Nothobranchius furzeri: one gene and its partners. The protein of the gene in region 2 purifies or fractionates together with the protein of the main gene of each other region. This does not show direct contact. Links are inferred from orthologs where the notes say so. Each region holds a gene or a part of one and is shown on either strand. Other genes may lie near its edges.

The links.
Region 1: the proteins of anapc13 (region 2) and anapc7 purify together in Homo sapiens (affinity purification with mass spectrometry; 3 studies listed by BioGRID and IntAct, counting the BioPlex papers as one, with this or other methods). This does not show direct contact. The link is inferred for Nothobranchius furzeri from reciprocal best matches to the Homo sapiens genes ANAPC13 and ANAPC7.
Region 3: the proteins of anapc13 (region 2) and anapc4 purify together in Homo sapiens (affinity purification with mass spectrometry; 9 studies listed by BioGRID and IntAct, counting the BioPlex papers as one, with this or other methods). This does not show direct contact. The link is inferred for Nothobranchius furzeri from reciprocal best matches to the Homo sapiens genes ANAPC13 and ANAPC4.

The regions. Positions count from the first base shown.
Region 1 is NC_091757.1:28,335,455-28,339,109, forward strand, and holds part of anapc7 (anaphase-promoting complex subunit 7), read right to left. Parts: intron 141-3,655; coding exon 1-140. UniProt on the Homo sapiens protein: Component of the anaphase promoting complex/cyclosome (APC/C), a cell cycle-regulated E3 ubiquitin ligase that controls progression through mitosis and the G1 phase of the cell cycle.
Region 2 is NC_091744.1:86,652,637-86,657,045, reverse strand, and holds the start of anapc13 (anaphase-promoting complex subunit 13), read right to left. Parts: upstream 2,927-4,409; 5' UTR 2,726-2,926; coding exon 2,627-2,725; intron 1-2,626. Other genes in the region: pierce1 (piercer of microtubule wall 2 protein), read left to right, coding at 3,879-4,208. UniProt on the Homo sapiens protein: Component of the anaphase promoting complex/cyclosome (APC/C), a cell cycle-regulated E3 ubiquitin ligase that controls progression through mitosis and the G1 phase of the cell cycle.
Region 3 is NC_091748.1:39,292,768-39,295,198, reverse strand, and holds part of anapc4 (anaphase-promoting complex subunit 4), read right to left. Parts: intron 2,123-2,431; coding exon 2,058-2,122; intron 1,943-2,057; coding exon 1,900-1,942; intron 1,780-1,899; coding exon 1,703-1,779; intron 1,634-1,702; coding exon 1,533-1,633; intron 1,456-1,532; coding exon 1,404-1,455; intron 1,331-1,403; coding exon 1,275-1,330; intron 1,177-1,274; coding exon 1,130-1,176; intron 1,046-1,129; coding exon 989-1,045; intron 853-988; coding exon 796-852; intron 741-795; exon of another isoform or gene 704-740; coding exon 610-703; intron 497-609; coding exon 399-496; intron 301-398; coding exon 239-300; intron 144-238; coding exon 105-143; intron 6-104; coding exon 1-5. UniProt on the Homo sapiens protein: Component of the anaphase promoting complex/cyclosome (APC/C), a cell cycle-regulated E3 ubiquitin ligase that controls progression through mitosis and the G1 phase of the cell cycle.

The DNA of each region.
Region 1 (3,655 bases), on a different chromosome or scaffold from region 2:
TGATGAGGTAAGGGTCCAACATCTGCGCTTGTTCAAATTTGAGAATAGCATTCTTAGTGTCCCCGGCTTTAAAATAAACGTCTGCCAGGCTCACCAGGAGGTCCACGTTGTCCCGCAGAAGGGATTTCTTTTCCAGGGAACTGAAGAAAAATGTGTTTGTTTCATTTTAAAGGAACGAGAATTAAGAAGCAAATTCAGTCCCTGAAGCCATGGAAATGTGTAGTCTGGTTGTTTTTAAAACCGAACATCATCCCCGCCCATCTAGGGAAAACCCTGGATCCACTCCGCAGCTAGGGATGTCCTTTCTCACTTCTGATACGATACCGGTATTGACTGATACCAATCCGACTTGATAACAGCACATATCACACATACTTTTACCTATTTCATAGTGTGGAACGTATGAAAGGCTTGATCGTGAGATATTACTCAATCGGAGAACAAGAGCCAGCAACAGTGAGTATGAAAGAAATTACTATTTTTTTAACCATTGGTTTCATAAACGTAAACCTTAAACATAACGTGTAACAAATGAATAAAAAAAGAAATAAATTAAAAGACTGAAAAATATTTTAAGTAAACACATAAACTAAAGATATATTTTTAAAGTACAAAATACTAATTCAGGGTCACTTCAGTTATGTTTTAGTGTCAGCAAATGGTGGGAAGAGTTGGGGCAGGAACATCAGGAAAAAAAAACCCACATTTTACCAACTGCTACAAGTTGAGTGTCCAAAGTTTCAACGGTGAAAATTCTCATGCAGTGTTTTGTGATGCTGCTTCAAACGTGCAATGAGGTATTAAACTTTGCTGGTCCTGTTCCACCATGGGAAACTTGTGCATGGCAAATGTTGCACTGAGTTACACCGTCTTCTGTGGACTTTAACAAACACGACTGCCGCACAGTTGCCATTGCTCCCTGCTACTTTGCTAGCATGCACGCTCTGACCACGCTGACTTTGCATGCTGGATCTGGGAGCTGCTGGATAGAATTGCTGGAAGGAAATTTAAAGTGAAACGGACGGCTTATGTCGGAGATTTTTCATGCAGTCCAATATAATCTGATAGTGTTTTTGGGCTGATATCGATATCGGAACAGGACGTCCCTAGTTACAGCAAAAAAAGTCCATTACATTCATAGGAATGCTAAGCCTGTAGATGGTAGTAGTCCCGCCTCCCCAAGAAAAAAAAAACATTGTTTGGATGAAGAATAATTAGGTGGTGGACAATAGCTGTCCTGTTGACTTTTGCCTGTGGTCTTCTACATAGAGCAGCATTTGAGCTTTTTAAAACAAACGAGTGTAAACGCAAGTCACACTTGTGATGTCAGTCATTTAGTAGGGAGCAGTGACACTGCAAAGCCTAAAACTCTAAAGCCTGGTTCAGGCTTCTCCGTCAGCTCCGCAAGGGACAGACACGCACGGATTGACGGAAGCGTTTTGCTCTCATACTTCTCCGTCTCCTGGGGAGTGTTGCAAAGCAATTCCCCAGCAGGACAACAGAGGGCGTAGCGCTGTTCTGTGGTATCCTGTCATGTATCGGTCCAAGATAGTGCGTTTATATTGTGTTTTTTGTGTATATAAGAGACTTTTAACACAGACATATTTGTCTCTCATTCTCCCACCTCTTCATGCGCTCCCCACCTCTAAACCCACGTTTCCTGTCATTTCTGTCCACAAATAAAACACTTGCTGCGCATCTTTTCACTCCTCCAGTCACGGGAGAATTAAACGTTCATATTTTTAGTGTTTTCGCGAGGTATTCTTCAAGCTGCTCCGTGTCTGTTGCTAGTTCTCCTCAGCTCTCTTTGCAATGGCGGCACTGTAAACAACAGCGGCGTCCTGACCAATCACAAGCTTGCGTTGCCCGCCTCGACTGACGGATGTTTAGAAAAGAGAGCTCAACTCAATCCGTCCTTGCGGAGCTCTCCGGCAGGCCCACAAGGACGGATAATGGCGTTGCGTGTCTCCGCACTGACGCAGACGGAGGAGCATGAATCAGGCTTAAGTCTACAAGCGTATGCTGACAACACAGAATCCCCAGATCTCCACTTTGGTCAGAGTTTTTGAAATAATAATTTAGGCTACGTTTACAATGCAGGTCTTGATGCTCAATTCTGAATTTTTGAGTAAATCTGATTATTTTGTGTGGCTGTTCACATTATGACTGAAATGCGACACCGAACACTGTCCAGTGTGAACGGGTCACGGCACCAAAGCGACCTCCATGCACAAAAGAAGTCACACACAGTGGAGTCGGAACCAGGGGTGACGGTGGCACGAGTCAAGTGCTCGCCCCGTAATCGGAAGGTTGCAAGTTCGAACCCCTCTCAGTTTGGCGCCGTCGTTGTGTCCTTGGGCAAGACACTTACACCCCCTTGTCTGCTGGTGGTGGTCGGAGGGACCGGTGGCGCCTGTGTACGGCACTAGAGCTGAAACGATTCCTCGAGTACCTCGAATAATTCGAGTACAAAAAATCCTCGAGTCAAATTCTCTGCCTCGAGGATTCGTTTAATTCATATTTAATTAATTCATGGCTTTGCAAACGCACGGGGTCATGTTTCACCCGGACCGAAATAAGTGACGCACATGCCCACTGGACTGATTGCACACGCGAGTAGCGAATATAACTTAACTTTCTCTTAAGCCATGGCGGACAACTTGTACCCCGGTGGAGTGAGAAAAAGACAGAAAATGTCAAAGTTGTGGAACCATTTTTCACGTCGTAAGGTGGAAAACGTAGTCCAGTGTAAATACTGTAACAACATGGATTTAGCCTACTACAACACCACATCCTCCGTGCTGCAGCACCTGTAAATGTCACTTCTGCAAGGGAACTCGGAGCCTCTACAAGATAATGCTTTTTAGCCTGTATTTCTATATATTCTGCAGGCACTGTGCGACTTTTTCGTTTGTAGCACTCAGTTTCAGCTCACACCGTACATCTGGTAGCAACACGTCGGACTTAAAATGTGCTAAAAATAGCAGTTTTTACACAACACGTCGGACTTTTTATTGTGTTATTGATGTCCGTTGTCCCTCGGGGTTTCTGCAGGAGGACACGGGTATTTATGAGTGGCGGAGGAAAACGAAAGAAAGTAAATAAATGTTTTGTGATCAGTATAATTTGACAAAACCACAGCAAACATGCTTTCTCGACAATCCTTGTTAGTGTGAGAAAAAAAAGTGTAGAAATTAAAACGGACGTGTGTTAATAGGGAAACAGCTGGCGAGCTGTTTGCGCCGTGAGCGGTTCTGGTTCTGTTTGGGCCGAAGCCGCTCGCAGCGTTATCCTCCTAGTTATTGTCTGGCTTGCAGGCTAGCAGATTCTCACACGAGGGGAAAATCAGCTCAGGTTGTTTACTTATTTTTTGCACAGGCATTTGTTTACTGTGAAGTAAAGTTGAAGTGCTGAAGTTATGCAAACTAATTTTGAATAAAACTTGAAGAATAACTGGCAATTGCTTGCTCATTTTAAGAGGTCTTTCATAATTATAACATGCTATTTGATATCAAATCAAATCACTTTTATTGTCACATCACATGTGCAGGTACACTGGTACAGTACATGCGAGTGAAATTCTTGTGTGCGAGCTTCACAGCAACAGAGTTGTGCAAAAATACAGTAATGTAAAAACAATTAAAATATAAAAATG
Region 2 (4,409 bases):
AAGGAATAAAAATGAGCCTTCAGAAGTGATTTAAGATCAGAGTGAGGGGGGGCCATTCTCACTGCTAGGGGGAGTTGGTTCCAGAGAGGAGGCACACAGATTGAGAACGCTCGTTCTCCTTGCGTCTTCACCCAAACACTCGGGACCTGTAACAGGCGGTGGTCTGCTGATTGAAGAATTCGACCAGGTACGTAAGGCTGAACCATCGATATATATATATATATATATATATATATATATATATATATATATATATATATATATATATATATATATATATATGGACAATGAGTTTCCATAGGCTCCAATTAAAAGTTTTTGTGCCAAAATGGGAGGTGGCCACCACCGCCATTTTGACCGTGTCACAGGTTCCGTCAAGCCCAGACAATTCCACAAAAGGGAAGAGAGGCGGAGCTGAGGGTGGGGCTGTAAGGCTGGGATCAACTGACGACACCCGGTCAAACTGAAGCTAATGTAGCTACAAGCTAACCTGAAGCTAACCCAAAGCCAACGCGGAGGTGGGAGCTAAGCTAACGAAGGTAGCAATCTAGCTACAACCGGAGTTGAACTGGGCTGAACCAGCTGAGTCAAGTAGAGAGGCACATAAAGATAGTGACTTAAAAACAAGAAGTAAAATTTTAAACTGGGAGCCAGTGCAGCTGGGTCAGAACAGGAGTAATGTGCTCCCTCCTTCTGGTGTCCGTCAAAGGGCAGGCCGCCATATTCCACACCAGCTGTAGGCGCACAACCGAGGAAGACGTGGATCCATAAAAAGGGGAATTTGCATAATCCAAGCGAGAGACCACAAATGCATGGATCACTGTGTGCAGGTCGTGTCTAGTCAGGATGGACTTCCATCTTTGATAGCCGATGAAGCTGGAAAAAGTAGGATCTAACCACCTGGCTAATGTGGGAGTCCATCTGCAGCTCCGGGTCAAAAACCATCCCCAGGTTAGTGATGGTTGGCTTCACTAAGCTGCGAAAACAGGGTGGTAGGACAGGACTAACTGAAGTGGGAGAGGGAGGAACAAACAAGAGAGCTTCCAACTTAGACTCGTTCAGATGTAAAAGGTTATTATAAAGCCAGCCATTCACCTCATTCAGGCAATCCACAGCCAGCTGCACTGACTCTTGAGGTTTTAATGAAACATAAAAACACCAGAGGGAAGAGAGGAGGTTTCAGAGGCAAAATCCCCCAGCCTCACACAAAAACTTCTGTTGCTGAGGTACGATCTGAACCAGTTTAGGGCAGTTCCCTGGATGCCCACTACCTGGTTCAGTCGGGACAGAAGTATAGCATGGTCTACGGTGTCAAAAGCAGCTGTGAGATCCAGAAACACCAGTAGAACATGGGAGCCGGAATCAGTGGACCACAGAACATCATTAAAAACTAAGAAGGGCAGTCTCAGTACTATGACCGGGACGGAACCCGGATTGCAAAGGGTCTAAAAGGTTAAAAGTCTGCAAATGGTCAGAGAGCTGTGTAAAAACATCTTTCTCAAGAAGCTTAGATAAAAATGGAAGCTTCCAGGGAGGTGGAGTCCAAACCAGCTTTCTTCAAAACTGGTTGGACCACTGCCTGTTTGAAAGCCTGGGGGATAACTCCAGGGGCTTGTCTCACAAAACTCAGAGCTGCTCTTGTCCTCTGAATGGATTAAATTATGATATACTTCTATAAAATAAATGCTTTAAATATTATTAATGAGGGCTGTGCAGTGGTTAGAGCTGTTGCCTTGCAGCAAGAAGGTCCTGGGTTCGCTTCCCGGCCTGGGATCTTTCTGCATGGAGTTTGCATGTTCTCCCTGTGCATGCGTGGGTTCTCTCCGGATTCCTCCCACAGTCCAAAAACATGACTGTTAGGTTGATTGGTCTGTCCAAGTTGTCCTTAGGTGTGTATGTGTGTGTGTGTGCATGATTTTTTGTCCTGTGTGTCTCTGTGTTGCCCTGCGATGGACTGGCTCTCTGTCCAGGGTGTACCCCGCCTAATTGCCCGTTGACCGCTGGAGATAGGCACCAGCCCCCCCGCGACCCTACGTGGACAAAGCGGGTTCAGAAGATGGATGGATATTATTAATGACACATTGGGCACTTTTCTGGGCTGATCAGTGACATCACTCACTGCCAAAGCAGTCGTGACCCGCTGACGTCTGTGCAAGTTCTGAAAGGGCTGAATCTGAATGGAGACACAACAGCTGAGAGGACTGGGACATCCTATCTCCTGGTCAAGTTCCCCATCCCAGGAACTACCCTGGAGTTCTGGTAATGGAAACATGCCTATTGTGACATCATATGGTGCCAGCTGACATCATAGGGTACCTCTTAGCCAATAGCGATAGCAGATTTAAAATTACCTGAAGAGGGTGTAACACTGACAGTTCTGGGCAGAATATTTAAATTTTAACTAAGATGCTCTAAAATGCCAAATTATTGACTACATGTGTCTACAGCTTGATTAGACACTTATTTATGTATTTTATCAGCAAAAAGAAATTGATTTGGGGGTGACTTGCTCTTTTTTATAATTCACAAATGATTTATTTTGAACTTCGGAATGGTCATTTGAGGGATACGTTACCATTTGTTTAACCACACTGTATTTTAATGCAAACACGTTTAACGTTTTTACCAAGGGGATGGTGACATCCTCATACGGTAGTTTGTCTTCTCTCCAGGCATCATCAGTCAGATCCAGGACTCTCCCGTCTCGTTGAATTTCACTGTCCATTTCAGGTTCAGCAGCTGAAACAGCTCTCAACAAAAACCCACTCAACCTCGCAGGGAAAGCTGAAGTTCATCGAAATAAAAGAAGAGAGCAGCGGTAAATAATTTCGATAGAATATACACTTAGAGGAGACGCTACGCTTAGCTCACAGTAAACAGACGCTTAATTTAGACGTAGGCGTCGACGCTTGATGATGACGACACAACGATACCTTCAGGTGCAGTGGAGAGTTTCTGAATTTTTTTACAAAGCCAACAAAGTTCTATATTTTGACCAGCAATTTAATTCAGTCTGATTTATTCAATGTTGTTGTTTATCAATAAACCACTCTGTTATAAAAGTAAAAAGCAATCAAAACTAAAAAAGATGAACGATTCCGTTTCCTTCGTCTAAGTGGTTTCCATGGAAACCAGACGCATCGTTTTTCTTGACCCACGGAAGAGCTGGCGACTGGCGAGGCCTGATCAAAACAGCGCGGACATTTTTGCGGTATTTGTGTATTTTAAGGTAATTAGTATAACAATGTACGCAAACAGCGGAGGCCCTAGTAAGCCTCAGACGCATCTAGTTATGTATGTATCCAATAATCCTGTAAAAATCCCTAGCCGACTACTTCAAAACAGGAAATGTTAGCTAAACGTATTTGTCTGTGGGTGCGTGCGTGTGTGTGTGTGTGTGCGTGCGTGTGTGTGTGTGTGTGTGTGTGTGTGTGTGTGTGTGTGTGTGTGTGTGTGTGTGTGTGTGTGTGTGTGTGTGCGCGCGTGTGCGGTATTAAAGATGTGGTTTATTTGTCCTCAGATTTTAAATGTCACTAAATAATACTGTTTGCAAAAAGCACTCACATAGCCAAAATTTTAAAAAGCTAATAATAATGCAAGCTGTTTATAATTTAACAATATAATTTTAATATTAATTTTATATATTAATAATAATTTTGTACTTTTTCTAAGCAAACACACACACACACACACACACAAATATATATATATATATATATATATATATATATATATATATATATATATATATATATATATATATATATATATATATATATATATATATATATGTAACTACTGAAGTTGACTTCAGCAGGATTGGTCCTGTAGGGGTTGAGTGTTGTAAACTTTTCTTTTACTTTGCAGACACTCCAGTGATGTCCCTGTCACAAGAGCAGCAGACAGAAATCACAGAACTATGCACTAGCCCTGGAAACCCAGCAGTCTCTTCCATTACCACCTCGGCAACTAGAAGCATGAAATCAGCAACAAACCCAAACATTGGAAGGATCCTGTACAGGACGACTTCAAGTGCCTATGGCAGTTTCCCTCCGACCCCTGAAAGCTCACCTCACTCCTACCACCCAAAGTCTCACAGATTTACTAAGGAACAAAGCAGAGGAGGGATGTACCAAGATAATTCTTTGAATACGGCCCTTGACCGGAGCAGGGTGCATGACTGTCCCAGTTTACATTACACCCTCTGAATTTATATTTGACTTCATTTAAATGATTTAAATGGATAAATAAAAATTGGATGATTTGCAGCTTTTCCTTCAGCTACTGTATGTAAACACATATTTCATTGGCTTATGTAGGGATTGAGTTTATTAAACGTAATACTTCAGTCTCCACTAATGGCGTATTTCGTCTTGTATTCTTTAAGGAATCAATCAATCAATCAATCA
Region 3 (2,431 bases), on a different chromosome or scaffold from region 2:
TCCACCTGTGTGTTCACACACAAAAATGTTTTTTAAACCATGAATACAAACACCAATCTTGTTATTACAGAAACAAAGCTCTGACGTGTTTGGGTTTCACGCACAAAGATGGAAGCTCAAACAGTCGTGGAGTGTTTTCTGGCCTAAAGGAGAAAAAAAATTCATCAAATTAATTACATTTCCTTTTAAATTTTAACTATGTTAAACAATGACAATAAAAAGACAAATGGGACATTACTTCTCTGAAATGGCGTACAAAGGAAGGAAGACTGCTTGTTTGACAGATTTTCCAATTACTTCCTGCAAACAAGGCAACATATTTAAGAGTGATAGTGTTGCAGAGCCGACGGGATGCTTGTTCGTACTGACGAGAAAAGAAACGGCACACAAACACTTACAGCAGGCTTCTGGAGGCAGTGTTCAATCACATTCTCCATCATCCTCTTGACGAAGTGCAGGGACTTCTGAGGATATGATGGGAACAGCAGAGGACTCTCTAAAGAGGAAGGATTTCGTTATTTTTGTATCCCACAAAATAAAACGCCAAATAAAACATTTTACCTTCTGCAAAAGTTCAATTAGGCACCTAAACTCAAAATCATCACTTACCTTTCAGGTGTGTGCTCTCCTGTAAAAACCTGAGCCACTGGTTACCCTTTGTGTTGGGAGGAGACACCAGGTCCTCATCTTCATCCTTCAGGTACTGTAAAGCGTCCAAAACAAAGACAAACCACCACAAGGTAAGAAGATAATGTTGATATGTTTTCTAAACTGTTCAGTAACAAAAGCCCTCACCTGACCAACTCGCTCTACGTTGAAGTATTTCCCCTTACGATTAAAGAGTTCCTCGTTCTGTTAAACAGTGAAATCAGGTTTAAAATCTCTACTAAATAAATACTACTGATACTATTCCGCACCACATTTATTTATCAAGCAAGTTTATAAACAGCATGACAACAAGCAAGCACCACTCATGAACTCGCCTCACCTCACTAAAATGTTCAGACAAGAAGTCAGCAACAAAGGCGATGTCCTTCTGAGTCATCTGAGGAGGAAACCAAACAGCACAATGAAACTGTACAGCCACTTCATGAAGCCCCACAGCCCCTCGTCTCCCATTAAATCCCACCTTATTCAGCTCTGGGGGCACATGCTCGTCACACATTCGTAGCATTGCTTCATGAGGCAAAACACAGCGTGAGCACATAAATAAAACCGAAAACACTCAAACTAAATCATATGCAGTAACTGCAACTAAAAAACTTCATTCTCACCTACATACAGCCATCGAAAAAACGCTTTGAAGTTTTTCATACTCTTGTCAATCACCCTAAAAGACAAAATAAAGGACGCATTTTGTGGAAACACTTTGAAATGACTCACGTTTAAGGTCGCAAGCTTACTGCAGCAGCTCATTGGCTTTGAGAGAGAACGAGCCCACAGCCGTGATTGCACCTGCAAAACAAAAACACCTTTACTAACAACAAAAGGCCAATATGAATAGTTAGGACTTTTATTTATTTGACTTCTACCATCAATAGCTCCTGAATCCAAACCGAGAGGCTCAAACTTCTGCTTCCACAGGGACATTCCCCTCACCTCGCTGAGGTGATACAACAGAGCCTCAGAGCCGCTGGAGAAAACACAGAACGATTACAAATAAAAACAAACGAGGTAGCATTTAGATGCTATGATAAAATACCTCTGCAGGTGGCTGATCACAAGCTTCTGGATGCTGGAGTAGGAAGACTCAATAGACTGACCGAGCTTCTTCAGACCCTAGGAGGGCATTGTAACACACAAAATAACTGATTTTAATATAAATCCCTTGATTAGATCTGAAACTCCTCAGCGTTTAATGAACACATCTCTGAATTAAATAAGTTGATCTTATCTGACCTTGACAGTCAGCTGGTTCATGAGGAGAGCCTGTAGTTCAGGACTGGAAACAGAGCAGACGAGAAGAAAAACTCAATAACAAAACCCTGAAACCAACTCCTGATGAACTGCTCCCATCTGCTGGACGCTAGGCATTACAACAGAAACACGTTCCTAACCTCGACTGTCCCCACAACAGGAGCTCCAAAAACTCATCTTGGACTTGGGTACTTGTGTTCTTTTCCTGCAAAAACAGGAGACTGGATATGTAGTGACGGTCTGTGTTTTCTGCCAGATTAATCTGAGCAAACAAAAATCTCTTTTAGTAGCAACTCTCTCACACCTCATGCTACAGCTGCTTTTAGTCAGACCGTATGTTTGCAGCATAGCTAGAAAAAGCTGCTCTGTCTTCCTCCCTCAAGTGTTGAACTCTTAACCCTCTCAGGCTCAAAATGAGTTTCGATAAAAGGACGAACAACTAAGTCCTTCAGGGGAACTTCGGAGTTAAAAAATGCTCATGAAACACGTGTGTGGAGTAACCAGGTAGGCAAAT